Linked DNA regions of Macaca mulatta. The protein of the gene in region 5 interacts with the protein of the main gene of each other region in a pairwise test. Links are inferred from orthologs where the notes say so. Each region holds a gene or a part of one and is shown on either strand. Other genes may lie near its edges. The genes, in order: SENP2, BCL2L2, EMD, RNF146, KASH5, UPK1B and JAGN1.

Evidence for each region.
Region 1: the proteins of KASH5 (region 5) and SENP2 interact in binary tests that used the Homo sapiens proteins (3 or more experiments, as listed by UniProt). The two-hybrid records come from large-scale screens. The link is inferred for Macaca mulatta from reciprocal best matches to the Homo sapiens genes KASH5 and SENP2.
Region 2: the proteins of KASH5 (region 5) and BCL2L2 interact in binary tests that used the Homo sapiens proteins (3 or more experiments, as listed by UniProt). The two-hybrid records come from large-scale screens. The link is inferred for Macaca mulatta from reciprocal best matches to the Homo sapiens genes KASH5 and BCL2L2.
Region 3: the proteins of KASH5 (region 5) and EMD interact in binary tests that used the Homo sapiens proteins (3 or more experiments, as listed by UniProt). The two-hybrid records come from large-scale screens. The link is inferred for Macaca mulatta from reciprocal best matches to the Homo sapiens genes KASH5 and EMD.
Region 4: the proteins of KASH5 (region 5) and RNF146 interact in binary tests that used the Homo sapiens proteins (3 or more experiments, as listed by UniProt). The two-hybrid records come from large-scale screens. The link is inferred for Macaca mulatta from reciprocal best matches to the Homo sapiens genes KASH5 and RNF146.
Region 6: the proteins of KASH5 (region 5) and UPK1B interact in binary tests that used the Homo sapiens proteins (3 or more experiments, as listed by UniProt). The two-hybrid records come from large-scale screens. The link is inferred for Macaca mulatta from reciprocal best matches to the Homo sapiens genes KASH5 and UPK1B.
Region 7: the proteins of KASH5 (region 5) and JAGN1 interact in binary tests that used the Homo sapiens proteins (3 or more experiments, as listed by UniProt). The two-hybrid records come from large-scale screens. The link is inferred for Macaca mulatta from reciprocal best matches to the Homo sapiens genes KASH5 and JAGN1.

What each region holds. Positions count from the first base shown.
Region 1 is NC_133407.1:97,766,956-97,770,455, reverse strand, and holds part of SENP2 (sentrin-specific protease 2), read right to left. Parts: intron 2,771-3,500; coding exon 2,719-2,770; intron 2,049-2,718; coding exon 1,985-2,048; intron 804-1,984; coding exon 630-803; intron 1-629. UniProt on the Homo sapiens protein: Protease that catalyzes two essential functions in the SUMO pathway.
Region 2 is NC_133412.1:96,405,983-96,410,167, reverse strand, and holds the start of BCL2L2 (bcl-2-like protein 2), read right to left. Parts: upstream 2,801-4,185; 5' UTR 2,567-2,800; intron 2,452-2,566; 5' UTR 2,364-2,451; intron 1,883-2,363; 5' UTR 1,875-1,882; coding exon 1,443-1,874; intron 824-1,442; coding exon 674-823; 3' UTR 1-673. UniProt on the Homo sapiens protein: Promotes cell survival. Blocks dexamethasone-induced apoptosis. Mediates survival of postmitotic Sertoli cells by suppressing death-promoting activity of BAX.
Region 3 is NC_133426.1:160,532,518-160,536,688, reverse strand, and holds EMD (emerin), read left to right. Parts: upstream 1-1,371; 5' UTR 1,372-1,469; coding exon 1,470-1,551; intron 1,552-1,674; coding exon 1,675-1,779; intron 1,780-1,944; coding exon 1,945-2,022; intron 2,023-2,236; coding exon 2,237-2,370; intron 2,371-2,824; coding exon 2,825-2,874; intron 2,875-2,958; coding exon 2,959-3,286; 3' UTR 3,287-3,693; downstream 3,694-4,171. UniProt on the Homo sapiens protein: Stabilizes and promotes the formation of a nuclear actin cortical network. Stimulates actin polymerization in vitro by binding and stabilizing the pointed end of growing filaments. Inhibits beta-catenin activity by preventing its accumulation in the nucleus.
Region 4 is NC_133409.1:32,293,843-32,298,013, forward strand, and holds RNF146 (E3 ubiquitin-protein ligase RNF146), read left to right. Parts: upstream 1-1,488; 5' UTR 1,489-1,557; intron 1,558-1,986; coding exon of another isoform or gene 1,987-1,987; coding exon 1,988-3,067; 3' UTR 3,068-3,671; downstream 3,672-4,171. UniProt on the Homo sapiens protein: E3 ubiquitin-protein ligase that specifically binds poly-ADP-ribosylated (PARsylated) proteins and mediates their ubiquitination and subsequent degradation. May regulate many important biological processes, such as cell survival and DNA damage response.
Region 5 is NC_133424.1:61,819,252-61,823,397, forward strand, and holds the start of KASH5 (protein KASH5), read left to right. Parts: upstream 1-1,346; 5' UTR 1,347-1,467; coding exon 1,468-1,549; intron 1,550-1,664; coding exon 1,665-1,769; intron 1,770-2,293; coding exon 2,294-2,480; intron 2,481-2,954; coding exon 2,955-3,019; intron 3,020-4,146. UniProt on the Homo sapiens protein: As a component of the LINC (LInker of Nucleoskeleton and Cytoskeleton) complex, involved in the connection between the nuclear lamina and the cytoskeleton.
Region 6 is NC_133407.1:164,549,299-164,553,279, forward strand, and holds the start of UPK1B (uroplakin-1b), read right to left. Parts: upstream 2,801-3,981; 5' UTR 2,539-2,800; intron 1-2,538. UniProt on the Homo sapiens protein: Component of the asymmetric unit membrane (AUM); a highly specialized biomembrane elaborated by terminally differentiated urothelial cells.
Region 7 is NC_133407.1:148,701,607-148,705,769, forward strand, and holds the start of JAGN1 (protein jagunal homolog 1), read left to right. Parts: upstream 1-1,363; 5' UTR 1,364-1,503; coding exon 1,504-1,592; intron 1,593-3,664; coding exon 3,665-4,127; 3' UTR 4,128-4,163. UniProt on the Homo sapiens protein: Endoplasmic reticulum transmembrane protein involved in vesicle-mediated transport, which is required for neutrophil function.

The DNA.
Region 1 (3,500 bases), on a different chromosome or scaffold from region 5:
TCAAAAAAAAAAAAAAAAGAAGAAATTATTTTCTTCTAAATATATGCTTCCTCCCCCAGCACACAGCTTCACTATTTTATGGATCTCTCTCTCTCTCCACCTGCATGCCCAATATAACAGTAAGTATTCAAGAGATTTGCCTACTAGGGCAACATTGTAGAGGAAGCCAAGATGTGGCACATCTTTAAGAATTTTAACTACCTTCATTCTTCATGTTCTGTAAGTTTTTATTATTTTCAAATGCAATAATCAGCAAAAGGGGCATTTTAGTAAACTGTAACCACTTTTTTAAAAAATGCAATGAACTTATTCCTAATACCAAACCCATACTATATAACTCAACATATTTGAAGGTTAGAATTTACAAAGAATCTGTTGTATTCCAAGATATGAGATGATTGTGTTGACTCACATTTGCTAAATATCAATCTGATCCCTTAGGCCACTAATGATCATGACTCACTAAAGATCAATGTAGTCAAAGTGAATAAACAGACTATGGACCTGATTTGTTTTCATACATTCATCTCTAGTCTGGAGAAAGTCCTCAAAACAAAATATTCAAGTTTAGAATAACTGAGGTTATTTAAAGACATGCCTCTTTTTAGGATCAATACAAAGAACAATACCTCTGTGAGTTCAAGGAGATCGTCCGTTCTTCTGTCCCTCTCTTTGCCTGAGCAATTCTTTTCCTTTGTCTCAATTGACACTTTCCTCCTGAGTAAGCCATTGCTTCCGCTGCCCAGGCGGAGTCGGGCCGACACTTCTTCTGATAGGTCGGGCTCCAGTTGGTATCCCCTCCTCTGATCAAAAAAGTATCTAAATTCTACTGACATGTTTGATACTTGCAAATATAAACACGGATTACACATGAAATATAAAACTGCCACTAATGTGAAAGAAAAGAGAATTAGCAAATCCCCCAAGTGAGTAGATTTACCATATCTGTCTGTCCCTGCAAGGGGGAACAAAAAAAGCTCCAGACCTAGGCCTCACAGGACCCTCAGTTACAAACCATGAAACAGAACACTCACCACCTTCCCTGGAAGTAGCAAGAAAAGTATTTTCAGTTCTCCTATCACAATTAAAAACAGTATGTTTAAAAGATATTATGAAAGTTTTAAACAGCAAAAAATATGACCCACAATCCCATCACTCAGAATAAATCCCTACTATCTTTACCGTAACTAAACTTGGTTCTAGTTCATCCTTGTAAAAAGTCATTTTATATGACAGAAAATGCACAAAACATTAACATACCACTTACTTCATTTTTGTAAAATGAACAACTATATAACCACAATTGTGGTAAACAAATAGAATTCTGCCAGCACCCCAGAACATATCATCTCTTTCCAGAGATGTATGACTTTTAAGAAATTCTCCCTAAGAAGCCATAAAATGTAGGTAATGTGTTGGTATGGAGGCAGGTTGGTCTCTCATAAACAAAGGTGGCTACTGTAGAGGCAAAACTCCAACAACTCAGAAGGCAGAAAAAAGTTGTGTATTTTCAATGTTTCCTGTTGCTTTGTTGCCTTTTTTTTTTTTTTTTTTTTTTGGAGACAGAGTCTCACTGTGTCACCCAGGCTGGAGTGCAGTGGTGTGATCACAGCCCACTGCAGCCTTGACCTCTTGGGCTCAAGCGATCCTCCCACCTTAGCTTCCCGAGTAGCTGGGACTACAGATGTGCCACCATGCCTGGCTAAGTTTTAAATTTTTTTGTGGAGACAGTCTCACTATGTTGCCCAGGCTGGTCTCAAACTCCTGGGCTCAAGTGATCCTTCTGCCTTGGCCTCCCAAAGTTCTGGTATTACAGGTATGAGCCACTGTGCCTGGCTGGCTTGCTGCTTTTTTAAAGAAAAACAACAGAATTAACAATCAAAGTAACACACATATATATATACTTTTTCTTGCTTTTCATGGGCACCAAAACATAAGTTATGTAAGAACACAGATATCAAATGTAACGGGGATTTTCACTTACACTTTCATTTTCAAATCTAATTCCGATCATCTTCTCCGTATCAGAAATTTTCCCCTTTGAACACCTAAGGAAACAAATTGAGAGATGACAGACTTCTGCTAGATGACTTACATCCTAGTTTTAGAAATAAGATTTCATAATTTGTAAATAAAAATTGCCTTGAGTTTATACAATACTCTAAACCAAGAGTCGACAAACTTTTCTGAAAAGGAACAGACGGTATTTTAGGCTTTGCAGGTTTTATGGTCTTGGGCACATCGTGGCAACTCTGCCACTGTAATTTAAAAGCAGCCATAGATAGTGTGTAAATGAATTCGCATGTTCCAGTAGAAATTTACTATACAAAAATAGGTAAGTAGACCAGATTTGGCCCATGGGCCATAGTTTACAAACTCTGCTGTAAACCATCATCCCAAAATCCTAAAGCATGCAGAGCTGCCTTTACTGTTCCTATCCTAAAAACACTGATCACTAGACATCCCCACACCAACCAAACTCCCATCTAAGAAGCATGTGTTTCTCCCAACCACTGATGCCTGAGAGATAAAGGGCACCCCCCAACCCACCAGGCTAGGGTGGGCATCTGACACAAGAGCTAGCTACCTATCTACCTAAATATGCTGACCAACTACCAGAACTCAAGAGAGTTCACAGTTCCTCAGAACTGCTTACTCATAAATATGGCTTAGAAAATAAGAAAATATATATTAAAAGAATGAACTGAATATACGTACCTCTTTTCACTTCTCAATGAACATAGAGGTCCCTTTGTTTCAACAAGTCTATCTGTGAGGATGGTAAAGAAAAGATTAAATGTTTCCTTCATTAATGAATAATATAGTTAGAATTTCAGGTTACAGAGTTTCCACAATGTCAAGACATTCCTATACATTGAAATGCTACAGTGAATTCCAAAGACACTAGCCTCCCTATACACTAAGTTGCCTAAAAAAATGCATACATATCTTTGCTACATATCTTTGTTGTTTAAATATAATCTTTACTATAAACTGAGTGATATCTGCTCATTTGGTAAGCTGTCATTTAGTGGACAGTAAGTGGAGAAATATAAGGAAATTGTTATATAGGGAATATAATAAAATTTCAGCTCACAAAAGAGTTGCTACTATCTAGCAGCTTAAGGATAATTATCCAGAGCCATGTTATGAATCTACTTCACCTTGAAACAGCTGTTCTACTAAACTCCTAGATAAGCCCCAGTCAATGCTGTGAGGTTTTTTTGTTTTTGTTTTTTTGAGACAGAGTCTCGCTGTCGCCCAGGCTGGAGTGCAGTGGTGTGATCTTGGCTCACTGCAACATCCACCTCCCAGGTTCAAGCGATTCTACTGCCTCAGCCTCCCAAGTAGCTGGGATTACAGCCAAGTGTCACCATGCCTGGCTAAGTTTTGTATTTTTAGTAGAGATGGGGTTTTACCATGTTGTCCAGGCTGGTCTTGAACTCCTGACCTCAGGTGACCCACCTGCCTTGGCCTCCCAAAGTGCTGGGATTACAGGC
Region 2 (4,185 bases), on a different chromosome or scaffold from region 5:
CAGAGCCCTCGGTCTGGATACAATGTTTCTCTCTAAGCCTTGAGGCATCAGGACAAGGGCAGGGGAAAGGAGGGGTTGGGAGGAGGGACAGAGAACTGCCCCTAGTTCTTGCCATTGCAAGAGGGAATGTTTTCTCCTTGAGGAATCCCACCACCACCAGATTTGCCAGGCAGCCCAGCATGCACACCAGCATGCGTGCACATGCACACGTGTGTCCAAGCAGCCCACTGTTACAGCCACCTCTCCCTATCACCTGAGAACCCCCAAGCTTCCATTCCAAAAGGATGTGCCTTCTGCGTTCCCCAAATCCCACTCATCTAATGGAATACAACTGCTTATGCAAGTCCACCTTCCTCAGGGCTGCAAACCAAGTTCCAGGTCATTTCATGTGCCCACACCTATAGGTGTGATCCCTCCCACATCCCCCAGCCCTGGATCGACTCCATCTCCTGCGTCCCTAAACTTGCCAAAACATTTCCCTCACCTATGTGTCCTGCTCACTCTTCCAATCGCCTACCTGGCCTACTCAGCTGCCTCACACACTACCCTTCCCCTGCCCATCCTGTTCCATGCCCACCCATCCACCAACTCCATTTCTTCCAAGGGCATTTCTCTGTTCTGTTCCTGCTCTCCTGGCCCCCAGCCACACCTAGCCCCACCTGGCCCTGGACTTTCACTTGCTAGCAAAAAAGGCCCCTACAGTTACCAGGGCCCCCAGTGCCACGGCCCCCGTCAGCACTGTCCTCACTGATGCCCAGTTCCCCTCCCGCAGACGCCGCGCCTCCTCCAGGGCCCCGTCCCCGTATAGAGCTGTGAACTCCGCCTGTGGGAGAGAAGGGAAGTAGGAGAGAAAGAAGGAGAAAGGGATATCAGGAGAGGAAAGAGTGGACAGAAGAGGAGAGGAAGAGTTCCAGTTCCATCCACTGCCAACACTACCCCATACCCAGCTCCTCTCTGGTCAAAGCTCTTCTGGCTGCAAGCCCCTCTGATCCCCCCAGGTGCACCCCCACCCTGAGAGACTGGTTCATTTGCCGCCCACTCTGCCTCCAGTGAATTCCATCCTTTCCTTGGCGAAAAATTCTGCTCAGAACTAGCATCCTTTGCCAAGGCTTGCCTGACCACCACCCATCCCTGGTCCTCCCCACCTCCCACACCATGACTCAGGTGCAAAAAGTCCCTGACAACATTCCCCTGCAGGCACTCCTTGGGTGTGGATTCTGTCCTCTGCTTGGGACCATGAGCCCATCCAGTGTTGACTGCATGGCAGCCCTGGAGTGCAGAGTCCAGGCATCTCTCAATCTGATTCCACCCAGACGGGGAGACTCAGCCCCGCACCTCATTCCCAACATAGCTGCCTCAGTCTCCAATCAGAGCTCCCATCTTCCCCCTGGAAACCAGCTTTGCAGAGGGATGTGCAGAGCGGCAATTGAGAAGCTTCTTACCCAGCCCCCACTGCTGTGGATCCAGTCAGCCAGCCGCGTCTCCAGGTAGGCCACCATCCACTCCTGCACTTGTCCCACCAGTGGTTCCATCTCCTTGTTGACACTCTCAGCACACAGTGCAGCCCCAAAGACAAAGAAGGCTACAAGGCGGCCCCAGTTGGGGCCCCCTTGGAAAAGTTCATCGGAGACCTGGGTGAAGCGTTGCTGTGCTGAGCCTGGGGTCACATGCAGCTGAGCCGCCAGATCAGAGAAGGTGCGCCGGAAGCGGGTCTCGAACTCATCTCCAGCTGCCCGCATGGCTTGGTGCAGCGGGTCAGCTGCTGGGCCCTCCCCGGGGCCAGCTCCACAGACATAACCCTTCTGCCTCAGCTTATAACCTACAAAGTCTGCCACCAGAGCCCGTGTGTCTGGGGCCGAGGCTGGGGTCGCCATCCGGGCAGCTATAAGAGGCAAGGATGAAACACTGGCATGAATATATGGAGAGAGAATCAGAAGGGGCATTTCTGGTTTGACCAACCCAGTGAGATGAGGAGGAGAGAAGAAATGCTCAGAGCTCACTGGACAGGGAGAGGCAAGAACAAGGGAATTAAGTCATGATATGAGACCAGGCTGTGAGGGGCTGGCCATTACATTCCTAATATGCCAAATTACATTTAAAACAAGTACATTTTCTGTTTAGAGATACTTTAGATTCTTTTCATAATAAGACAACGTCAGCTCTGTGACACCCCTACAACCCTCCCACCCCTGGGCCTCCTTAGTCCACACCTCCTTGGCTAGAGGAAGGGGCTTAGGACCTCCCCAAATGCAAGATATAAAGATGTTGGCAGAGGCACAAGATGAGGGGGAGCAGATGGGCCGAAGAGAAAGGTGGGAGACGCAATGGTTTACTCCAGACAGAGAAAGGAAGGAGACACTCACCCAGCCGGGATGGCAGCTCTTAAGACACAGCACTGGTGGCAAGGAGCCCCCAGCTGGGGCCTTTCATCCTCCCGGCCAGCGTGGAGCTCTGGAAAGGGGAGGGGGAGATCAGAACCAGGAGGGGAAGGCCAGGGATCAGGTTCTGGCCTGGGAACGGCTAGGGTTGCAGCTCTGGGCCTGGGCCCCTGCCCCCAACGCTCTACCAGCTGTGTGGCCGAATCCATGTTTAATGACTGTCCTCCCGGGAAACCCAGGGCCAAGGGCTTCCTGCCGACACCATCTGTATTCGCGGTTCCCCCTAGTGCAGCCCAAAGGCCCAACTCCTCCCTTACCCCCACCTCAGCCAGTCTCCAACCCCGCCCGCCTGCCAGGTTAGGGATCTCACGGGTCAGGCCGCTGCCGGGATCCGGGCCGTTTCCTGGTGCAGGAGCTGGGAGGGAGGGAGAGAGGGAGGAAGGGAGGGAAGGAAGGAGGGAGGAGAAAGGGGGGGCAGAGGGAGGGCCCGGCGCCGGGTGATGATGGGGCCCAAAGATGCGTCCAGAGAGAGGGGCGGGGCTGGGACGCAGGCCTGCGAAGGGCCACTACTCAGGAAGAGGGAGGGCTGCTGAAGGCAGTGAAGGGCTGCCTGAGAGGGCACGGTGGGCTGGGCTGGGCTGGGCTCCTGAGCCTCGAGGCTGCCCAGAGAAATATGCCGGACTTCAGGACATCTTGGGGCAAATTTAGCATTTCCAGGAGGTTTCCGATGTTCCATGCACTTGTTGAACTTTTCCAGCCCTGAATTGTGTGCCTGGAAAACAGGAGCAGTTCCCATTAAGCTGGGAACCGTCTACTAGGTGCCTTACCCTTTTGGGACTAGCAGACACTACACAGACACCAAACCTTTCCCATCTTTTCTCCAGGACCTTTAACCCAGTGTTGTCTTTGTGGGCTGGGCTTCAGCCAGGCATCAAGGAGCCAGGACTTGGATCACAAGCAGTTTCTTCCGGTACTTTTCTTTAATTCATCTTCTTTTGTAATCAGATTGATTTTAGTGGTTTTTTTTCTTTCTTTCTTTTCTTTTTTTTTTACCCAACACAGGAACTAATTCTCATTGTGAAAAAAATCAAACAATAAAGAGGTATGGAGTAATAAAATACAGGTTCTCAAACACACACACACATACACACCCAATTCCACTTCCCTCCCTGCAGGTTGCCATTGTTAAGCTTGATGTTTATCCTTCCAGATTACATATACATGGGGCCATTATTTATACATGGCAGTATATTTATACAGGGCGGGTCACAGGTGTGAAGCAATCTGACCACAGCTGATCCACATGAGAGCACTCACAGCCAGCCCCCTGGGCTCTTGGATCTGGCACTTTCTTCAGCTCCATTTAAAAAGCAACCCAACCAAAGGCCAGAAAGAGGCGACCCAGTTCTCCTCTTCTGCTAGTACCCTTTGCTTCTACCTCCAAACCAAGCCTCTGTATTACCATCTGCCCTTATGGTCACTTGAGAAGTAAGGTCTTTTCTGCAGCAATAATAGTAACAACTAGCTGGGTTTGGTGGCTCACACCTGTAATCCCAACACTTTCGGAGGCCAAGGCGGGTGGATCACTTGAGGCCAGGAGTTTGAGACCAGCCTGACCAACATGGCAAAACCGCATCTCTACTAAAAATACAAAAATTAGCCAGCCTGTAATCCCAGCTGCTCAGGAGGCTGAGGCATGAGAATCGCTTGAAACCAGGAGGCTGAGATCATGCCACTGCACTCCAGACTGGGTGATAGAACGAGACTCTATCTCAAAAAAAAAAAAAAAGTAAAAACATATTTTGAG
Region 3 (4,171 bases), on a different chromosome or scaffold from region 5:
GCCCCCTGCCTAGACACGCTGCCCTCAGGGACTATTCCGACAGGAGAGGACGCCCCGCTGCAGCTCCCCCCAGTGCCCCGGGTGAATGAACGGCATGAAGGATTAGGCGGGCACACGTTGTCTCTGTACGCATCGCACGGCGCCCTCTGCCCGCGCCCACTGGCGTGCCCGTCGGCATGCCCGGGCCCCTTCGAAGGCTGCTTGCTTCTGGAGTGCCAGCGGCCTCCTGGCCCAGTGCCCCATTTCCTCCCGGGTAGAGTGAGGGAGGAGGAAGGGAAGCAGAGAGGTAGGCGGTGGGAAGCAGCAGGCACATGTGCGCGGGCGAGAGCCCTGCAGACTGGGAAGAAGGGCCCGTGGCAGGGGGTCTGCGGAGATCCCATAGGCGCGGGCCTTGCCCCGCAGCCGCTTCCCGAGCAATGCGCACACAAAGCGCCCCCGGCAGTGCCTGGCCCCGGGCCCGCGCTCTCTTAGGGTCCGCTGCCGGGGCGGCCGACCGGGATGCGGCCGGGAAACCCTAGGCTCTGGGGCCCAGGAAAGGGGGGCGACGGCGGGGAGCAGGGATGTGCAGGGACCGGGCGAAGTCCAAGTGACTTAGGGACCAGAGCCACCCCAAGCGCCGACTTCGCCCGCTCGCACGTCCCGGGTCCCTAGCGCGCAGGCCCCATCCCTCTCACCCGGCTGGCTCAAGCGCGCCACAGGGTGACGTCTTGGCTCCCAGCCGTGTCGCCCTGACTCCCGCGCGGGCCCCGCCCCCTGCCGCTAGCCAATCTATGCGTTTGTGACTTTTGGGCCCGCAGCCCCGCCTACTCCCACTGCGATACCAGTTTGCATTGCCCTGACTCCCGCGCGGGCCCCGCCGCCTACGCCGCTAGCCAATCCGTGCGTTAGTGACGTGTGGCGCCCCTCGCGGCGCGGCTTGCTCCCACCGCGAGACCTTCTGCCCCGCGCCCGCGCGGGCCCCGCCTCCTCCATCGCTAGCCAATCCCCATGTTTGTGACGTAAGGGCTCTCCGCTCCGCTCGCTCCCAACGCAAGACCTTTTGCTCCGCGCCTGCGCGGGCCCCGCCCCCTCCATCACTAGCCAATTCCCGTGTTTGTGACATATGGGCTTGCGGCCCCGCCCGCTCCCACCGCGAGACCGGTTCCCACCACCCTGACTCCCGGGGGCCCGCCCCCTCTGCCGCTAGCCAATCCGTGAGTTGATGACGTTTGGGCTCGCGGCCCCAGCCTCCCAGCTCTCAAGGCCCGGCCGGTCTGTGCCGGCTACTCCCGCCGTTAGGTCCCGCCCAGCGCAGCGCGCGCAGCCTGCGAAGCCAGCGGCCGTGACGCGACAGCGATTCGGCTGTGACGCGAGTGCGGCCGCTCCCGATGCACTCGTGCCGCCCCCGCCGTGCTCCTAGGCAGCCGTTGCTCGGCCGGTTTTGGTAGGCCCGGGCCGCCGCCAGGCCTCCGCCCGAGCCCGCACCCGCCATGGACGACTACGCAGATCTTTCAAATACCGAGCTGACCGCCTTGCTGCGCCGGTACAACATCCCGCACGGGCCTGTAGTAGGTACGCGGCGGCGGGCGGGACCCCTTCCGGGCCCCCTCCTCGTGCTCCGCCCCGCGACCTCCCCGCTGCCCTCCCCGCGCCCCTTCCCCGGACCGCGGCCCTGACCGCCCCGTGTCCGGCCAGGATCAACTCGTAGGCTTTACGAGCAGAAGATCTTCGAGTATGAGACCCAGAGGCGGCGGCTCTCGCCCCCCGGCTCGTCCGCTGCCTCCTCTTATCGCTTCTCTGGTGAGAGCCTCGCCTGTGGGGACGGCCTGGGACGCGGGGAGGATGAGGTAGCGAGGGTGTGGCAGGGGTGCCGGTCGAGAGCGGCACTGGGGAAAGGGGAGGGAAGTCTTGGGGTGGGGGTGGGGGTGGGGGGGCAAACAGTTCTGTCTCCTCCTTTCAATCCAGACTTGAATTCGACGTCAGGGGATTCAGATATGTATGATCTTCCCAAGAAAGAGGACGCCTTACTCTACCAGAGCAAGGGTAAGGCAGGGGTTGGGTGGGCACGCTGGCACCTTCACCCGACTGCGTCAGGGACCCCGCTCACAGGGAGGACCTGAGACCTCAGTCCCAACCACTCCAGCAGCCTTAGGAGGGAGAAACTGTCACAGGTCCCGAAATGGGATTCAGATTAGGGCCATCGGGCCAGGCGGGGCACACCGATGCCCCCTCTGCTACCGCTGCCCCCCTTCCCAAGGCTACAATGACGACTACTATGAAGAGAGCTACTTCACTACCAGGACTTATGGGGAGCCCGAGTCTGCGGGCCCGTCCAGGGGCTTCCGCCAGTCTGTGACTTCACTCCCAGATGCTGACACTTTCCACCACCAGGTGAGCTGGTTGGCAGGCGTACTGTACTTGGGTACAACCTAGGGGATCGCGGCTGTGTTTGGATAAATCCAGGGGGCCACTGGGTACAAATGGTGGCCCTTGGGCCTCTGGGGAGACTTTGGCTCAGCAGACACCTGTTTGGTCAGGGTCCTACTTTGGGGAGCCCTCAGAACTATGTGACTAGAGCACATAGGATGCGTCCTGCACCCTGGTCTGGGATCTAGGCTCCAGCTCTTCCTGAGAGTCCTGGGGGCAAAGGGGGGTGCTGGGGCATGAGCACAAGTAGCAAGGCCCCATGGATAAAAGGCCGAACACCCAGAGTCATTCAGGAGGGTGTGGGTCCCTGGCCTTTAACCAAAGGTCAGAGGGGACCTGCTGGGGAAATTTGAGAGGGACGTGGCAGGGCCATTGTGGCCCTGCCAGCCAGTTCCCTCACCTTGACTCTCTTCTACAGGTACGTGATGACGACCTTTTGTCGTCTTCTGAAGAGGAGTGCAAGGATAGGTATGTATGTATGGGGAAGGCCAGGGACAGGGGCTGGTTCTGGACCCAGGCTCCTGGCCCACCTGTTCCCCTCTTTTGCCTCAGGGAACGCCCCATGTACGGCCGGGACAGTGCCTACCAGAGCATCGCGCACTACCGCCCTGTTTCAGCCTCCAGGAGCTCCCTGGACCTGTCCTATTATCCTACTTCCTCCTCCACCTCTTCTATGTCCTCCTCATCATCTTCCTCTTCATGGCTCACCCGCCGTGCCATCCGGCCTGAAAACCATGCTCCTGGGGCTGGGCTGGGCCAGGATCACCAGGTCCCACTCTGGGGCCAGCTGCTGCTTTTCCTGGTCTTTGTGATCGTCCTCTTTTTCATTTACTACTTCATGCAGGCTGAGGAAGGCAACCCTTTCCAGAGGGAGCCATGAGGGTCTGGGCTTCAGAGCCAGGTCTTCTGGGGAAGTCCTGGCTGACTGCCTTAGCAGTGGGGGTGGGGGTGGGGGTGGGGGCAGGGGCAGGGGCAGGGGCTTTTATGTGTTCTTGCTTGGGGGGCGCTGGGCCTAGCCCAGAGTAGTGCTTGCTCCCCCTGCCTTGTCCCACCAGGGAGGCAGCAGATTCAGGCCCTCCATGGGGGCCTGAGTGTGCTTTCCTCGGCAGCCTCCTGGCCCTGCTTGCCTGTAACCCTTAGGGTCCAGGAGGGCAAGGCCTCGCTCAGTCAGAGGAGAACATGGTTCTTGTTGTCATGCATGCCTCCTTTTTGTCATCTTGTTGGGGGGGATTAACCAAAGGCCACCCTTTGTTTTCGTGGACACACAATAAAAACCCCATTTATTTTTAATGCGTTGGCTCTTCCTGGAGGAGAGGGTTGGGCTCCCATGGCAAGGGCCTCTGCGTCTTGGGACTCGAGGATTGCAATCTGGCTTTGTTGGGTCCGCATTTTTGCTTTGGTCTGGGGATAGGAATCAAATGCTACCCAGAGATGTTTGTGTTTTGTTTGGGAGTTTTATTCCCTAACTCATTCCCCAAAGCACCTGTAACTGCTTATACATATAATTGTGGTACAACAAGGCGTATACAGAGAACCCACTTAGAAATTCAGGCAAAGCAGCCGGGCGCGGTGGCTCAAGCCTGTAATCCCAGCACTTTGGGAGGCCGAGGCGGGCGGATCACGAGGTCAGGAGATTGAGACCATACTGGCTAACACAGTGAAACCCCGTCTCTACTAAAAATACAAAAAAGTAGCCAGGCAAGGTGGTGGGCGCCTGTAGTCCCAGCTACTCGGGAGGCTGAGGCAGGAGAATGGCGGGAACCCG
Region 4 (4,171 bases), on a different chromosome or scaffold from region 5:
GGAATGTTAATTGGCTATTTAAAAAACATATGCCTTAGTTTGTAACTTATTGTTGCTTCAAGTTACAAGATCTTTGAAGGCAAGTGTTTATCTCAAAATATGTGAAAGCTTTTATAGTGCTTAACATACTAAGACGTCCTATTAGGGTTTATTTAGAACAAGCTTATCCAACCTGTGGGCGACATGCGGCCCAGGGTGGCTTTGAATGCAGCCCAACACAAATTCATAAGCTTTCTTAAAACATTATGTGATTTTTTTTTTTTTTTTTTTAGCTTATCAGCTATCATTAGTGTTAATGCATTTTATGTGTGGCCCAAGACAATTCGTTTTCTTCCAGTGTGGCCCAGGGAAACCAAAAGATTAGACACCCCTGACTTAGAACTTTCCATAGGTTAGGAAAAAGTTGTACTTTCTTGATGTCTATAACCTAGAATTTTTGGTAAAGGAATTGATTGGAAATGTTATTAAAAGTTGAAAATAATTTGGAAATTAAGCATTTTAGTGATCAGTTCTTCCACTGAAACTGTGTTGCTTCCTTTACTAAATATGTGCCATCTTTTTAAAAACTTAATGTGTTGCTTCCTTTACTAGAAAATTGCCATCTTTTTGAGCCTTGTCTATTGAGGAACCAAGAACACAGAAAAGGCTGTAAAAAGAAAAAAAAAAAAGGATTGTTTTAAGATTGGATGTGCTGTGATGATAGCCTAGGATTATTGTTTTTCAATTTTTGATGAGCGTAAGCATTGTTAGTGACTATATCTTTTGTAACTACTGGACCCATTTAGAATGGCAGAATTAGCTGGCACAAAGATTGTCATGCATTTTAAGCTTTAATCTCTCACATCTTCATCTTCATTTCTCAGTCTTCTTTACTTATCAGTGGTTTCCTCCCTCTATTATTTTCTCCCCTTTTAATTTTTTTTTTTTTTTTAACTATGGGGAAAAAAAAATTAAATGTTTCCTTAGCAGGGCACAATAAGGCTTTCATGACTTGGCTTTTGATTATCTTTACACCTTCATCTCCTGCTCTTCCATTGCTTGTATGACTATTTGACTCAGTGTCTTGCACATGCCTCTGCCTGGAATCTGCTCCACTGCCCAGGCCCCTCTGAATGAACACTAAACTTTCTAACCTATGTCCATCCTCTCATCTCTGTCTCTCTCATTGTTATTTTTGTAAGTATGTTAATACATTCTGATTATGCAGGAATCAGGCCATATTGTAATTATCTGCATATTTGTTTCCTTATTTAACAGAGTACTTGAGTGTCTTATTTATCATTAGACCCATCAGTACTTAGTATCTAGACCATGGTAGGTGTTTGGTAAACGTTTATCTGAATCAGCAAGGCAGAAATTATAAATTTTATGTCAGTGTTTAAGCTGGATACATCCAATTTGACAAATCTTTTTTCTTCCTCCTCTTCAGGGCATCTTCAATATTCATGTTATTTTCTCCCTTGGTCTTATGTGATTGTTACCTTTATGAAGCTTTAGTGATTACAAAGCACTTTTTTTGTTCATTTTTACCTGAGCTTTGTAAACTCTGATTTGCAGGTAAGGAAATTTAGACTAAGGGTTGAACTGCATGCCTAAGAGCACATAGTTAATAAAGAACTCTAAAACTCAGATTTTTAGATTTCTTGTCTAGCATTCATTTCACTGTATAATAGCTGCCATGATCCTTTTTCCCTCCACTGGATGCAGCTTTTCATTATATAGTTCTTCAGTGTGTTTCTCCAGGGCCGATCTGTAAGTGCACTGATGGAATTTTTATACATTCCCAAAGTATGTACAAGTAAATGCTTATAAAACGTTTTCATTGGTTGGAGAGTTTTTCTTCTACTTTCATCTTCATATCCCCATTGTCTAGAATGTGGCTTGCATATAATGCACATAATAGGTGGTTAGTATTTTCATAATTGTTGAATTAAGATATTGCAAGAATTAAAACATGACTTTAATATTTTATGTATTTTTTCTTAGGATGGCTGGCTGTGGTGAAATTGATCATTCAATAAACATGCTTCCTACAAACAGGAAAGCAAACGAGTCCTGTTCTAATACTGCACCTTCTTTAACCGTCCCTGAATGTGCCATTTGTCTGCAAACATGTGTTCATCCAGTCAGTCTGCCCTGTAAGCACGTTTTCTGCTATCTATGTGTAAAAGGAGCTTCATGGCTTGGAAAGCGGTGTGCTCTTTGTCGACAAGAAATTCCCGAGGATTTCCTTGACAAGCCAACCTTGTTGTCACCAGAAGAACTCAAGGCAGCAAGTAGAGGAAATGGTGAATATGCATGGTATTATGAAGGAAGAAATGGGTGGTGGCAGTACGATGAGCGCACTAGTAGAGAGCTGGAAGATGCTTTTTCCAAAGGTAAAAAGAACACTGAAATGTTAATTGCTGGCTTTCTGTATGTCGCTGATCTTGAAAACATGGTTCAATATAGGAGAAATGAACATGGACGTCGCAGGAAGATTAAGCGAGATATAATAGATATACCAAAGAAGGGAGTAGCTGGACTTAGGCTAGACTGTGATGCTAATACCGTAAACCTAGCAAGAGAGAGCTCTGCTGATGGAGCGGACAGTGTATCAGCACAGAGTGGAGCTTCTGTTCAGCCCCTAGTGTCTTCTGTAAGGCCCCTAACGTCAGTAGATGGTCAGTTAACAAGCCCTGCAACACCATCCCCTGATGCAAGCACTTCTCTGGAAGACTCTTTTGCTCATTTACAACTCAGTGGAGACAGCATAGCTGAAAGGAGTCATAGGGGAGAAGGAGAAGAAGATCATGAATCACCATCTTCAGGCAGGGTACCAGCACCAGACACCTCCATTGAAGAAACTGAATCAGATGCCAGTAGTGATAGTGAGAATGTATCATCTGCAGTTGTTGCACAGCACTCCTTGACCCAACAGAGACTTTTGGTTTCTAATGCAAACCAGACAGTATCCGATCGATCAGATCAATCGGGAACTGATCGATCAGTAGCAGGGGGTGGAACAGTGAGTGTCAGTGTCAGATCTAGAAGGCCTGATGGACAGTGCACAGTAACTGAAGTTTAAATAAAAATGTCTTCAGCTCCATGCTCAAGGTTGAAAAGGTTACCTGTAAATTTCTGCCCACATAACATTATACTCATCCCTAGTAGTGCATTTTGGGAGTTGGGGTGGGAAGGGGTATGGGAAGGATAGACCCGTAATCAAAATGTCTAACATGTCTCTGTTGAGAAATTTATTTAATGTAAGGAACTTGGGTGTTAATAGTTGAGAGCTGTTTAGTAATAACCCAGTTTTCTCGAGGTCTGTTTACTTTATAGTTTTTAAAAACTTCTGTAGTTCTTTTGGCCAGTGTGTTTGTATTATCTGTGCATTAATGGTCCTCATCTGACTCCTGCATTGTGTCTTATTTTTCTGCATGGATTGGCATAAGACCATTACTAAAATTTGGCACCTGTGAGATGTTTGATATTATGAGCAGGAAGCATAATTTAATGTAAGAATAGATGTGAATTTGGGATTTCAAAATAGATGAATAACTACTATTTTATAGTAAAGTTATTGATACGGAAATGAAAACAGCCAGTAACTTATGTTTCAGAATGTTTGTAACACACTTCATGGCGTTCCCATAGGCTTTGCTGTCTAGTCTTATAGTTTGAGGTTTTTCTGGTCAGCATTTTTCTTTTTGATTACAAAATTTATAATTTAATAAATACTAGAGTTTATCAAAAACAATTTGTCTCTTGTTTGAGTGTGGAAAGGGTGTGGAAACATTTTGACATTTGTGACCAAAGGTCACTTAAAAAGTGGTAGTTTTAATTGGTTGTTTTCAGCTTTAAATCACCTGCCCAGAAAAGTCTGATTTTTTTTCTTAAGAGATTATTTATTTAACAGATTATTATTTAAACAGAACCTATAGGCAGTGTGTATATAATAAATATATATGGAAATAAAATTAAAGCAGATACCATTAATATTTTATATTTTCCTTACCATATTCATTAGTAGTCTAACACTCTGGATTAAATGGCAGACTTACAGTGTTAGCAGACATGAATTCACTTTAAACAAAATGTTGTAGACCACAAAATCCACTTTTATTTGGTAGATTTTACATCTATGGCCAAATAGAAAATATTAGGTTGACACAGTAATCTAGAATTTACC
Region 5 (4,146 bases):
GAGGCAGGAGAATTGGTTGAACCCCAGAGGCAGAAGTTTCAGTGAGCGGAGATTTCGCTACTGCACTCCAGCCTGGGTACCACAGCAAGACTCCGTCTCAGAAAAAAAGACAGCGAGAGGAGGAAAACAGACTGGGGCTAAAGCCCTGGTCTTCCCTAACTGTGAGTTCACACGCCCCTTCCCAAGGGCCAAACCTAGGAGCGTGGGTTCAAGCCAGAGGGAATGTAAATGTCATGCACTGCGAAGAACCCAGGAAGAGCTAGAGGGATGAGAAAGTTGACTCATATGTTAAACAGGGTGACCTTTGCTGAGTTCTTAGTTTCTCTATGCTTTGGTCCCCTCATTTGTAAAGTAGGGATTATAATAGCATCGATTATTAATATGCTACTAGACAGTTCATGTAAAGTGCCCAGAAAAGGCCAGGCACCTACTAAATGCTCAATAAGTGTTCAATTCTATTCTTGAGTCCCCACCACATGCCAGGCCCTCTGCCAAAGCCCTTCTAGATTTTATCTCATTTTCTCTCTAGGAAAGAGGTAACACCAACCCCATTTTCCAGAGGAAGAAACCGAGGCCCAAGAGAAGTTGAGTCCATTGCCCCAAGTGCCGCCACTTGTCTGAGGCCAAGCCTTAGTTACCCCTTGGATCTACCCAGTCCTGCAGCCTGTGCTCAGTGAGCTGCTGCACCCAGCTGTTCAAGGCCAGGGCAGGGAGCCTAGAAGGTCACTTCCAGCCCTGGGAGGGAGGCTGGGCCAGTCCCAGTGGCTTCTGCAGTTGAGGATCTCTTCCTATGTCATGGAGCATTTGTTGAGCACCCACTATGTGCAGGTGTTGTGGCTACAACAGTAGACAAATAAACCCCAGGACGTGTGTGTGTGTGTGTGTACACATGTGTGCTTCACATACACAGAGCTAACTCAGCCCTGGTGAGGAGGATCACTCTACCCACCCACCCCCCATTTTACCAGTAGGGAAACTGAGGTTCTGAGAGAACAGACTTGCCCACAGATGTGCAGCTGGACTCTGCACCCAGGTCTATGTGACACACGCATATGGTTTGATCCAGCTCATAGCCATTCCCTCACTGCCCACCCTGCCTGGTTTACCCCATCCCTTCATGTCTCAGCCCCCGGCCATGGGCTCCAATGATGCCAGCCTCGCCTTAGGGATGCAGGGAGGAGAGAGACCTGGTCCCCAGGGTGGGCTGGGAGACCGGAGATGCAGCAGGCGGGATCGATCTGGGCTGCCCACGCATTATTGGATTGTTCCTGGCTCCTGGGCCCCCCTTCACTCTCAGCTCCTCCCAGAATCCTCTCTTCTTTGCCCTCCCCCGCCCTGTCCTTTTCTGAGTCCAGCCTGGGAGGCTGGAGAGGAGAGGAGGAAAGGGTGATCTCAGAGTGTCCTTCTCTGGGCTCCTAAGCCAATTGGACACAAAAAGACAGCCGGGGGGACTTCCTGGTCTGAAAGATGGGGGGAAGAAACTCAGAGACCCTTACGTTGTTGCCCCCTCCTGAAGCTTCCTGCTGTTCCCCGCTGGCCCTAACTCTAGGTGCTCTGAGTGAATTCCCTCCCCTCTGCAGAGCCCAGGAGGCTGAGGACCTGGGGTCACCCCTCTTCCTTCCTCATTCTTCTCACTGGTGAGCTGAACCCTCTTGTCTCCCCAGTGTACCTCTGGGAGCAGCCTGAGGAGACAAGGCTGGGGATGCCGGTCAGCTTGGAGGAGCAAATACTCAACTCCACATTCGAAGCTTGTGACCCTCAGAGGACAGGTGGTGGGGCAGGAGGGGTGCTAGGGACCAGCGCGGGCGGGAGAGGGGTGGAGGCTGGGAACTGGGGAGCCTCAGGGAGAAGACTGGGCTAGGGCCCCTCTTGGGGGTATTGCAGGAACAAAGTAGGTGATTTTGGGAAGCTTCAGGAAGAAGAAAGTGGATAACAGAGTGAAGGCCTTTTAGAATGAGGAAAACCTGGGGGACATTGATGGAAGAGGGTAGAGTTTTGGGGTCGTGGGATGGGGGAGGGAGGCAGCCACCATGGTGGAGTGGGGCATGGCTGGTGCTGTCCCCATGTCCATCCCCTTTGGTTCACCTTGTGATAGGGGGATGACTGGGCCCCATTTCCAGGTGAAAAAGTAGACTCAGAGGAGGGGAAAGGGCTTGCCCAGTGTGTCTCCACTGGGCTATGGAGCAGGAGTGCCACCAGCCTAGCCAGTGACATCCTGCTCCCAAGCTGCTGCCAGTCCATACCCACCACTCCCCACTTGCCCCAGACCCCCTCACTGCATGCTCTGTCCCAGGCACTGTGGCTGTGACCCAGGTGCTGGCCTACCTGGAGGCGGTGACAGGCCAGGGCCCCCAGGATGCACGCCTCCAAACATTGGCCAACAGCCTGGACCCCAATGGGGAGGGCCCTAACGCCACTGTGGACTTGGACACTTTCCTGGTTGTCATGCGTGATTGGATTGCTGCCTGTCAACTACACGGGTGAGTCCCCACACCTTCATTCTCCTCTGGGAAGTCCTTCCTAAGATCTAACCTCATACCTGCTTACTGGAGCCAGCATCCTTTAGGCCCAAGGACCTACTGTGTTTGGAACGAGGCTGTGGAGAGAAAAATGAAGAGATGGGATTCAGAGGGGGTAGATAGGGAGTCTGAGGACAAAATAATTTGGATGAGGAGGCAGAGGGGGTCTGGGAGACAAATAAAATGGGGCTGGAGAAGGGAGGGGCTTGGGGCTGGCAGAGGTCCCTCGCCATCCCTTCACCCAACCCACTCCTTGCCCCTCCTGCTTTTCCATCTGGCCGCAGGCACTTGCCATCTGGCCTCACCCTCCTACCCTGTGGTGCCAGCTTTCACCTGACCCGGTCCCCTCCTCCCACCTGCAATCCCCCTGCCTGTGGCTGGTGAGGACTGAGGGGCGGCTACAGTGGGGCTCTAAGCCTCATCCCTTTGATACAGGGGATTAGAGCTGGAAGAGGAGACCGCCTTCGAGGGAGCCCTGACCTCCCAGCAACTGCCATCTGGTGAGATTGCTATATATAGAATGAAGCAGGCAGGCCCTGGGTCAGACAGTGTGGGAACTTACCACTCAGGGCAGAGCAAGGGATAGGGTGGGAACCAGGGACCTTTACTGTAGCCTAGAGCTGTGAGTGTGACTTTCTAGGTCCTCCGTCCCTTCCTTCCCTGAGCTTTGGGGTTTTTTTCTTCAGAGGATGGTTTCCAACTCTTCCTCCTCACACCAGCCCTATCAGAGAGGCCTACAAGGCCCCACCTACCTCTGCTCCATCATCATTAACATCACCCCCTCCTCACTCTAGTCCAGGCATTCGCAGGCCCACTGGTCTTGCTGCCCTTCCTCGAATGTGCCCCACTTCTGCCCAGCACAGGCCCTTGCTCAGGCTGTTCCCCTCCATTCCTCACTCCCCAACCCCCTAGCCTTTTTTTTTTTTTTTTTTTTTTTGAGATAGAGTTTCGCTCTTGTTGCCCAGGCTGGAGTGCAATGACGCGATCTCAGCTCACCGCCACCTCCGCCTCCTGGGTTCAAGCGATTCTCCTGCCTCAGCCTTCCGAGTAGCTAGGATTACAGGCATGCGCCACCACGCCCAGCTAATTTTGTATTTTTCATAGAGACGAGGTTTCTCCATGTTGGTCAGGCTGGTCTCGAACTCCCAACCTCAGGTGATCCACCTGCCTCAGCCTCCCAAAGTGCTGGGATTACAGGCGTGAGCCACCGCTCCAGGCCGTTATCCTTCACACCTCTGGCAAAGGGGAAGCCCTGGTATGCCCCTGGCTAGAGTTCCCTGCTTCCCATGCTCACTCCTAGACTTGTAGGCCTTTCCATTGGAACATCTACCTGCAAAGGAAATCTGATTATCTAGTTAGCCACCGGTGCCTGGGTTTAGTTGGCTGGTTTGCTCACCATTATATCCCCAGGACCTCACACATAGGAGGTGCTTCATAAAAAAGTGGTCATGGACCGGGTGCGGTGGCTCACTCCTGTAATCCCAGCACTTTGGGAGGCCGAGGCGGGCAGATCACGAGGTCAGGAGATTGAGACCATCCTGGCTAACATGGTGAAACCCCGTCTCTACTAAAAATACAAAAAATTAGCCAGGTGAGGTGGCGGGGCCTGTAGTCCCAGCTTCTCAGG
Region 6 (3,981 bases), on a different chromosome or scaffold from region 5:
CAAACTCTAGTTCATGCTAGAGAAATTTGAATTAACAAAGGAGAAAAAAAAGAAAAGGAAAAATAGGAGAGGAAGAAACGAAGAAACACAATATGCTATTGCCTTAGCCCTGACCCTGAAACTCAGAACAAGAACAGACACTTGCGTGGCTCAGAGTAAAGATGGGTGTGGAGACTGTAGGTCACAACAATTGCTGGTCTGCTTCAACTTAAGGTAGGATAAGTCCCTGGAAATAACAAAAAGAGGAGCTTTCTCCTAGGGCCATCACCCATGGCTCACAGTGCCCATAAGTTTTTCTTGCTTTAAAGCTCAAAACCTGTGTTCACTAATACAGTAGTTAGTAGTTGCGTGCAGTTATTCAAAGTCAAATGAATTCAAATAAAAGTAAAAACCAGTTCCTCAGTTGCTCCAACCACATCTCAAGCACTCCCCAGATACATGTGGTTAGTGTCTATTGTCTAGAACATTTCCCTTATCACAGAAAGTTTTACTGGACAGCACTACTCTTGATTCCTGGTGCTCCCAGTATGATGGGAGTCATCCATCTATTGGAAATCAGGGACTAGCTGTAAGCAATGGCTCAGGAGCACTCAGTTGCATGAAGGCCTCAGGTGTGGGCATTGCCAGAGGGATGCCCAGCTCCAGGAAAGGAGTACTGTGGAGAATCCTTGGGGCAGGGGGACGAGGCGGGGAGCATGGTGTGTGATGACGGTGCCCCTCACCAATGTGGTCTCTGTCCCAGTTGGCGAATGGTGGCCCATCAAGTTTGTGGGCGGCCTGCATGGCTATCAGGCCCAAATTCCAGAGCATATTTAAAGGCTGACTGGTGTTTACTCTGGTTAAGAACGTAAGCAGGAGAAGTCAAAAAGAAGTTCTGAGTTTTGGCCGGGTGCTGTGGCTCACGCCTATAATCCCAGCACTTTGGGAGGCTGAGGCAGGTGGATCACAAGGTCAGGAGATCCAGACCATCCTGGCTAACACAGTGAAACCCTGTCTCTACTAAAAAATGCAAAAAATTAGCCGGTCGTGGTGGTGGGCACCTGTAGTCCCAGCTACTTGGGAGACTGAGGCAGGAGAATGGTGTGAGCCCGTGAGGCAGAGCTTGCAGTGAGCTGAGATCGCACCACTGCTCTCCAGCCTGGGAGTCAGAGAGACTCCGTCTCAAAAAAACAAAAAACAAAAAACAAAAACAGTTCTGAGTTTTTTTTTTCTCCTTGATTAAAGGATGTCTAAGGTCCCCTTTGAATGTAAAAGTCTATGATTCTTCCCAGCAGTTAAAAAAAAATATATAGGTGAGTTGATTTTAAAGACTATTTTATAGCAGAAAGCAAAACAATCTGTTGGAGCGAAAGTAAAGTAAGAAATTTTTCTCCTCACTGAAAAGGTTAATAAAAAGAAAATCCACTTCTTCACAGGGTCTGAAAACTATGTAACCTAAATTTTATTTATACTGAAAGTATATATATATATCTATAAAACCTAGCGAGTTATTTCCTGTTGTGCTTAGCAACTCAGGCAAGAAATGGTCAAGAAACATTGTCTTTCATTAAAAGAAGACATTCGAGTTAACAAAACTTCTTTAAAAATTTATTTATATATTTTTAGAGACAGGATCTCACTATGTTGCCCAGCCTGGACTAGAACTCCTCATCCCATGGCCTCAGCTTCTTGAATAGCTGGAACTGGAGGCATGTGCCACTGCAACTGGCTATAAATTCTTAAATGGCTTAAAAATCTTTAAAACTAGTTAGAAATAGAGTTTTAGGTTTATAAACAAATGCAAACATAAAATAATACTAGCATTATTTGAAACTTAAATTTGTATTTTGTATGAAAATGTCATTAGAACGAAAAATATCTTTATGTCCTGCACATCCTTGTGGAACAAAGAATTGGTAAGGAGTAAAAACAAATTATGTAAAAATAACATTGCATAGATAAAGCTACTTTGTTGACTTACTTCAACTGACACATTTATTAAGCAGAAGTGTTTGCAGAGAATAACTGGGAGTAAATTGCCTCACACATTTCATTACAAGTTGGCAGGACCAAATGATTTCTGACAAGAAGACCAAGAAACTTTCTCTCTGCTAGCCTGAACGGATTATTCAGAAATGACACGAGCTATTTCGTTAAATTTTCTATTGCTTTTCTGACTCCACAAGGAAATTGGGGGTCTACAAAGGTGTCTGTCTATGTGCGATTTAATCAGGAGATACGGGGTTTCTCAGGTGCTTGGATTTTCTTGTTCTTTCTTTGGGGATATTTCAGGTTGAAAGCAGGATGGCTGCGTAATATCTCCAGAACAGAACAAGACTTATATCAAAGGTTTTAAGAAAGCAATTTGAACGGTTCAAAGTAAAAGAGAACAGGACAGTCACAATACCCTAAATTACAAAGAAAAAAAATGACAGACTTTATGAATCAGGAATCTAACTTCTTCCCCTTTCGCTCCCAGACCACTAGCTTCCCTCCCAGGAGAGCAACCCAACCCTTGAGCCCGCGGGATTCCCTGTAGAGGGAAAGCAGTCTACTCACAGCGCCTCCTCTTTCTGCACACAGGGTGCGGCCCGCTCCGCAGTCTGCACCAGCCCCAGGTGCTTTTCTACCCTCCTGCAATCCTTTGAACCTCCAGGACCAGGGAAGGGTGGTCTGTGATTGGCAGGAGGCACCTCACATGGGCTGAGCTTGCCGCTGCCTGCCCTGCCTCGCTGAGACGGGGGAGTAACCGGAGACTGTCAGTAGATTTCTGCTGCTTTGGAATGTGTGACTCTGACATCTGGAAGCACCTTGACAGCCACACTCATTGCTTTCCTAGATCCCTCCTAGGTCTGGACTTTACTGGAATACAAATTCAGGGCTTTTATTTTGATTTGATTTGATTAGTGTAATTTGATCCTTACTCCTGCTTTTGTGTGTTGAAGGCTTGTTAGTCCTGACTGCTCACAGAGATAATGATATGTGCTTACCTGTGCAGGGCCATGTCCAGCTTTAGTTTCTATAACCCTTGCATATGCCAAATTCATAGCAATAGTCATTGCCCAAGTAATGCTCATACTGTAGGTAGCCCAAAGACCAATAAGGAGCAAGAGATGTGGAAAGAAACAGATTGAGAAAAATTCAGGCAAAGAGAGAGGGCTCAAGTGATTATCTGATGTCCAATTCTTCTCTTCCCTCTTCCTTCCTCCCTTTCCTTTCTCTTCTCTTCCCTTCCTTTCTTTTTTCCTTCTTTCCTGACTTCCGGAGCCATCATGTGTTATACATGGCACCCAGAGCATCATTTTAATGGCTGCATAACCTATCGTAGTATACATGCACCATAGCTTGTTTAACCTGAGTTAGGAGTTGGTAACAGCAGTAATGTTAGAATTTACTGAGTGCTTTAATCAATAGACTTGGGAGTTCCTCAAGGGTCAGCATCATCTCTGTCTCAGGTTAGATTGTTCAGGAGCAGACTTTGAGACAAAATTTAGTGTTCAATATATTTATTAGGGAGTGCCCTGAGAGGAACACCCATGGCAGGGACAGGGAAGAAACAGGACTGGGCAGAGAAAGAAGTTGAGCTGCAATATAGGTGGGACAGTCTGAAGCAGTCCCCCTTGGGAAACTCTGGAGGAAGATGGCCTGTCAATGTAGCTCTGCCACTGGGCTCCTCTATCATCTGCCCTTCAATGTGGGTTGCCCTGGGAAGGCAGCTTTCTGTAGCTGAGGCAAGTCCTGAAAGGGGCTGATAACTGGAGGCTGGAGGTTGCAAGTACTCCCAGCAGCAGGGCAAGCTCCCCCTTGAAGGGGACTGCATGGAGCACCTCTGTGTCCATCACAATGCCTTATTCCTCTGCAGCTCTCCAGGGCCTGATTAGATAAATTATCATATTTCACACAATGGAATTCTGTGCAATGGTTAAAAATGACACCACAGATAAACATTTAATGTCATGGAAATAAGTTCAGTCATTTACTTAATAAATATTTATTGAAAAC
Region 7 (4,163 bases), on a different chromosome or scaffold from region 5:
GAGAGACTTTCCTAACCCTCCAGGTCAGGGAGAGAGGCCTCATTTTTCCTCCCTCAGCCTCCTGTGTTTTCTTGTATTTCTTAGCTTCATGGGTACAAGTTCTTCCCCCGACTGGGCTGTGATCCCTCAGGGGAAATGGACCAAGTTTATTTCTGTGTCTGCAGGTCATAGCACAGTAACCTGGTGCATGGTGGATGCTCAGTATACATGCTTTTTTCTTTCTTTTTTTCTTTATTCGGATAACATAACTTCTTTCTTTAAAGTTTTGCTTAGTATTTTGTTGTTGTGGTAAAATGCACACAACATAAAACTTACTATGTTAATCATTTTTAAGTGTACGGTTCAGTGGCATTAAGCACACACATATAGTTGTACAATCAACACCACCATCCATCTCCAGAACATTTTTCATCTTCCCAAACTGAAACTCTGTATCCATTAAACACTAACTCCCCATTCCCTGTCCATCCCTCAAGCTTCTGGCAATGGTCATTCTACTTTGTCTCTACAGATAAAGTTTATTTGGAAATAATTTTTCTTTCATGGCCTTGACATTTTTGAAGAGTACGGTCCAGCTCTCTTCTAGAATGTCCCTCCGTCTGGATTTATGTCATTTCTTCATGATTAGATTCAGTTAGGTATTCTTCGGAGAAACATCTTAGAAGTCATGCTGTGTCCTCAGAATATTAAAAGAGGCACAAGATATCAGTTTATCTCATTATTGATCAAATTAATTATTTGGTTAAGGAGGACAAGCCAGATTTCCTCACTGAGAGGTTCCCGTTTTCTCTTTGCAATTATTAAATGTGAGAAACTTATTGTGAGACGGAGTCTCACTCTGCACTCTGTCCCCCAAGCTGGAGTGCAGTGGCACATTCTCGACTTACTGCAACCTCTGCCTCCCTGGTTCAAGCGATCCTCCTGCCTCAGCCACCCAAGTAGCTGGGATTACAGGAACCCGCCACCACACCCGGCTAATTTTTGTATTTTTAGTAGAGACGGGATTTCACCATGTTGCCCAGGCTGGTCTTGAACTCCTGACCTCAAGTGATCCACCCACCTCGGCCTCCCAAAGTGCTGGGATTACAGGCGTGAGACTGTGATGTCTGCTCCAGGGAAAGTCACAGAATGTATCAGTTTCCACCTCTGTAAAGTGTGGACAGAGGTATCCTAAACTGATACTACAGTTTAAGAAAGTAAAAGAGTTCAAGCGGCCTCTGAGCGCCAGCAAAAACACGCTGAGTCTGTGGATTAATTTCCTCCGCTCTCCACGGGAGGCGGGGCTGGGTGGGGCGGGGGCGAGAGGGAACAAGGGCGCCTGCGCTGAGAGGAGTGACCACAGAGTCGGTCCTCCTGAGACAGAGGGGCCGGAAGTTCTCTTCACAGAGTCGCGCGGCTGTGGTGGCGGCGCTGCGGCGGCGCAAATAGGGTCCGTGGGCCACTTGGCGCTGTCGTTGCGGTAGCAGGTCCGCGTGAGGGGTTCGGGGGTTCTGGGCAGGCACAATGGCGTCTCGAGCAGGCCCGCGAGCGGCCGGCACCGACGGCAGCGACTTTCAGCACCGAGAGCGCGTCGCCATGCACTACCAGATGAGGTATGAAGTGAGGCGAGGAGCACGGAGGTTTTCTCCCCGGCCGGAGCCTGCGGGGCTTGGGGAGCGACGCCGGCCCGGCCTCAGGGTCTTGCTCCCCAGCCAGCCCCCGCGCACCTGCCAAGTCCCCTCTTCCCGTGACGGCTTCAGGCCTGTCCCCCATCCTGGAAAGCCCCGTCGCCCCCGCGAGCTCCACCCCTTGATCCGCCCGGTGCCTTGAGGGGATCCAGCCCCGCGTGGACTCCCGAGTCACGTCGATGCTGGCCCTGCTGTGTCACCTTCGAAACCGAATTTCTGAGCCTCAGCTTCCTTATCTGTAGAGGGAGAGAATAATCTGCCTTTTAGGTTTTGGTGAAAGATTAATCAGTAATTCGTATAAAGGAAATAGCGTAAGGCCTACCGCGTAATATATGGTAGGTGTTATATTTTGGGCCGTTTGGGGGGATATAGACAGTAAAAGGCAGCCTCTCCTAAGGATGCCTTGCCTAAAATGAATTCTATAAACACTCCCACGTAAGGAGTATTTCTACATTCGATTACTAGTTCGACGGATACTGAACTTCCAACCATCATACACTGCTAGACACTAGGTTATAATAGCAAAAGCAGACATGGTCTTTGTATGCATGCTATACCTTCAATAAACAATTTTATTTAAAAAAAGAAAAGAAAAAAACTGTTCCCTGCCTTCATGGAGCTTGAAGTCTAGAGGTAACTTTTTTTCCCCCCAACTTTTCCACATTTTCTACAATAAATATTTTTAAATAAAAATTTTAAAATGTTTACTTCCTTAAACCCATTGACCTCTCCCAGAATGTTCTTCATATCTTTCTCTCCAGAGTTTTGAAGAAGGACAAGCTCTTTGAACCCTCATTTCTTTCACATCTCTAGGCCCCGGCTGAAGGGGCCTCACAACTTAAGCAGGTGTTTTCATGACAGCCCAGAGTGGAAACATTGCCCTTAGGGATATGAGGAGGATACATTTGGGACCTGAGAGAATTCGAAGAATAAGATAAGTGTGTACTTACTTTAGATGAAAAATCTGGCTGGAGAAGTATGGGCAGCCTGAGTACTTTTCCTCTCTGCCAATACCTTCCCCTCCAGGCTTTAATCCTATGGTGCAGTCAGAGTCCTCTTGCTAAACACAGCTCTGAGTTACCCTTCTGCCTTATTATTATTATTATATTATTATTTATTTTTGAGACAGAGTCACGCTGTGTCGTCCAGGCTGGAGTGCAGTGGCGCGATCTCAGCTCACTCCGCCTCCCGGGTTCACACCATTCTCAGCCTCAACCTCCCGAGTAGCTGGGACTACAGGCGCCTGCCACCACGCCTGGCTAATTTTTTTGTATTTTTAGTAGAGACGGGGTTTCACCGCATTAGCCAGGATGGTCTCGATCTCCTGACCTCATGATCCACCCGCCTCACCCTTCCAAAATGCTGGGATTACAGGCGTGAGCCACCACGCCAGGCTCTACCTCTTTATTACTAGTATTTTTTTTTTTTTTTTTAATAGAGATGGGGTCTCATTTTGTTGCCAGGCTAATCTCAAACTCTGGGCTCAAGCATTCCTGCCTCAGCCTCCCAAAGTGCTTGGATTACAGTTGTGAGCCACCATGCCCAGCCTCTTCTGCCTTTAACTCTCATAGCCTTTGTGACTTCATATCCCACTACTCCTCTCCCCCTAATAATATGTTCCTGCCACATGTAACCAGTTGCTTTCTTGGAACACAAATACTTGGGCCTTTTTGCTTGCATGCTCCTGCATGGGATGCCCATCTTCACTCAATCCTGAGGCTAGTTCAAATATCACCTGCCTCTAGATAGTCATCTCTGACATTCCATGCCAGGCAGAGTCGATTCCTCCTTCCTGTGGTCTCATATATCTGGGAACATATATTTACTAGAACTTTTTCACTTCATCTTCTAATTATTTTTTCCTCCTCTGCTCTTTGTGCTAGGCTTCTAGGCTGTTTTATTCAAATTTGTATCCCAGTGTCCAGTACAGTTGCCTGGCATATAGTTGGTGGTAAGAAAAATTTGAAAGGTACTTCTCCCTCTGCTCTGCCCCACAGTGTGACCCTCAAGTATGAAATCAAGAAGCTGATCTACGTACATCTGGTCATATGGCTGCTGCTGGTTGCCAAGATGAGCGTGGGACACCTGAGGCTCTTGTCACATGATCAGGTGGCCATGCCCTATCAGTGGGAATACCCATATTTGCTGAGCATTTTGCCCTCTCTCTTGGGCCTTCTCTCCTTTCCCCGCAACAACATTAGCTACCTGGTGCTCTCCATGATCAGCATGGGACTCTTTTCCATCGCTCCACTCATTTATGGCAGCATGGAGATGTTCCCTGCTGCACAGCAGCTCTACCGCCATGGCAAGGCCTACCGTTTCCTCTTCGGTTTTTCTGCTGTTTCCGTCATGTACCTGGTGTTGGTGTTGGCAGTCCAAGTGCATGCCTGGCAGTTGTACTACAGCAAGAAGCTCCTAGACTCTTGGTTCACCAGTACACAGGAGAAGAAGCATAAATGAAGCGTGTCGGACTGCGCTTTAGAGTGAAGCCTGGAC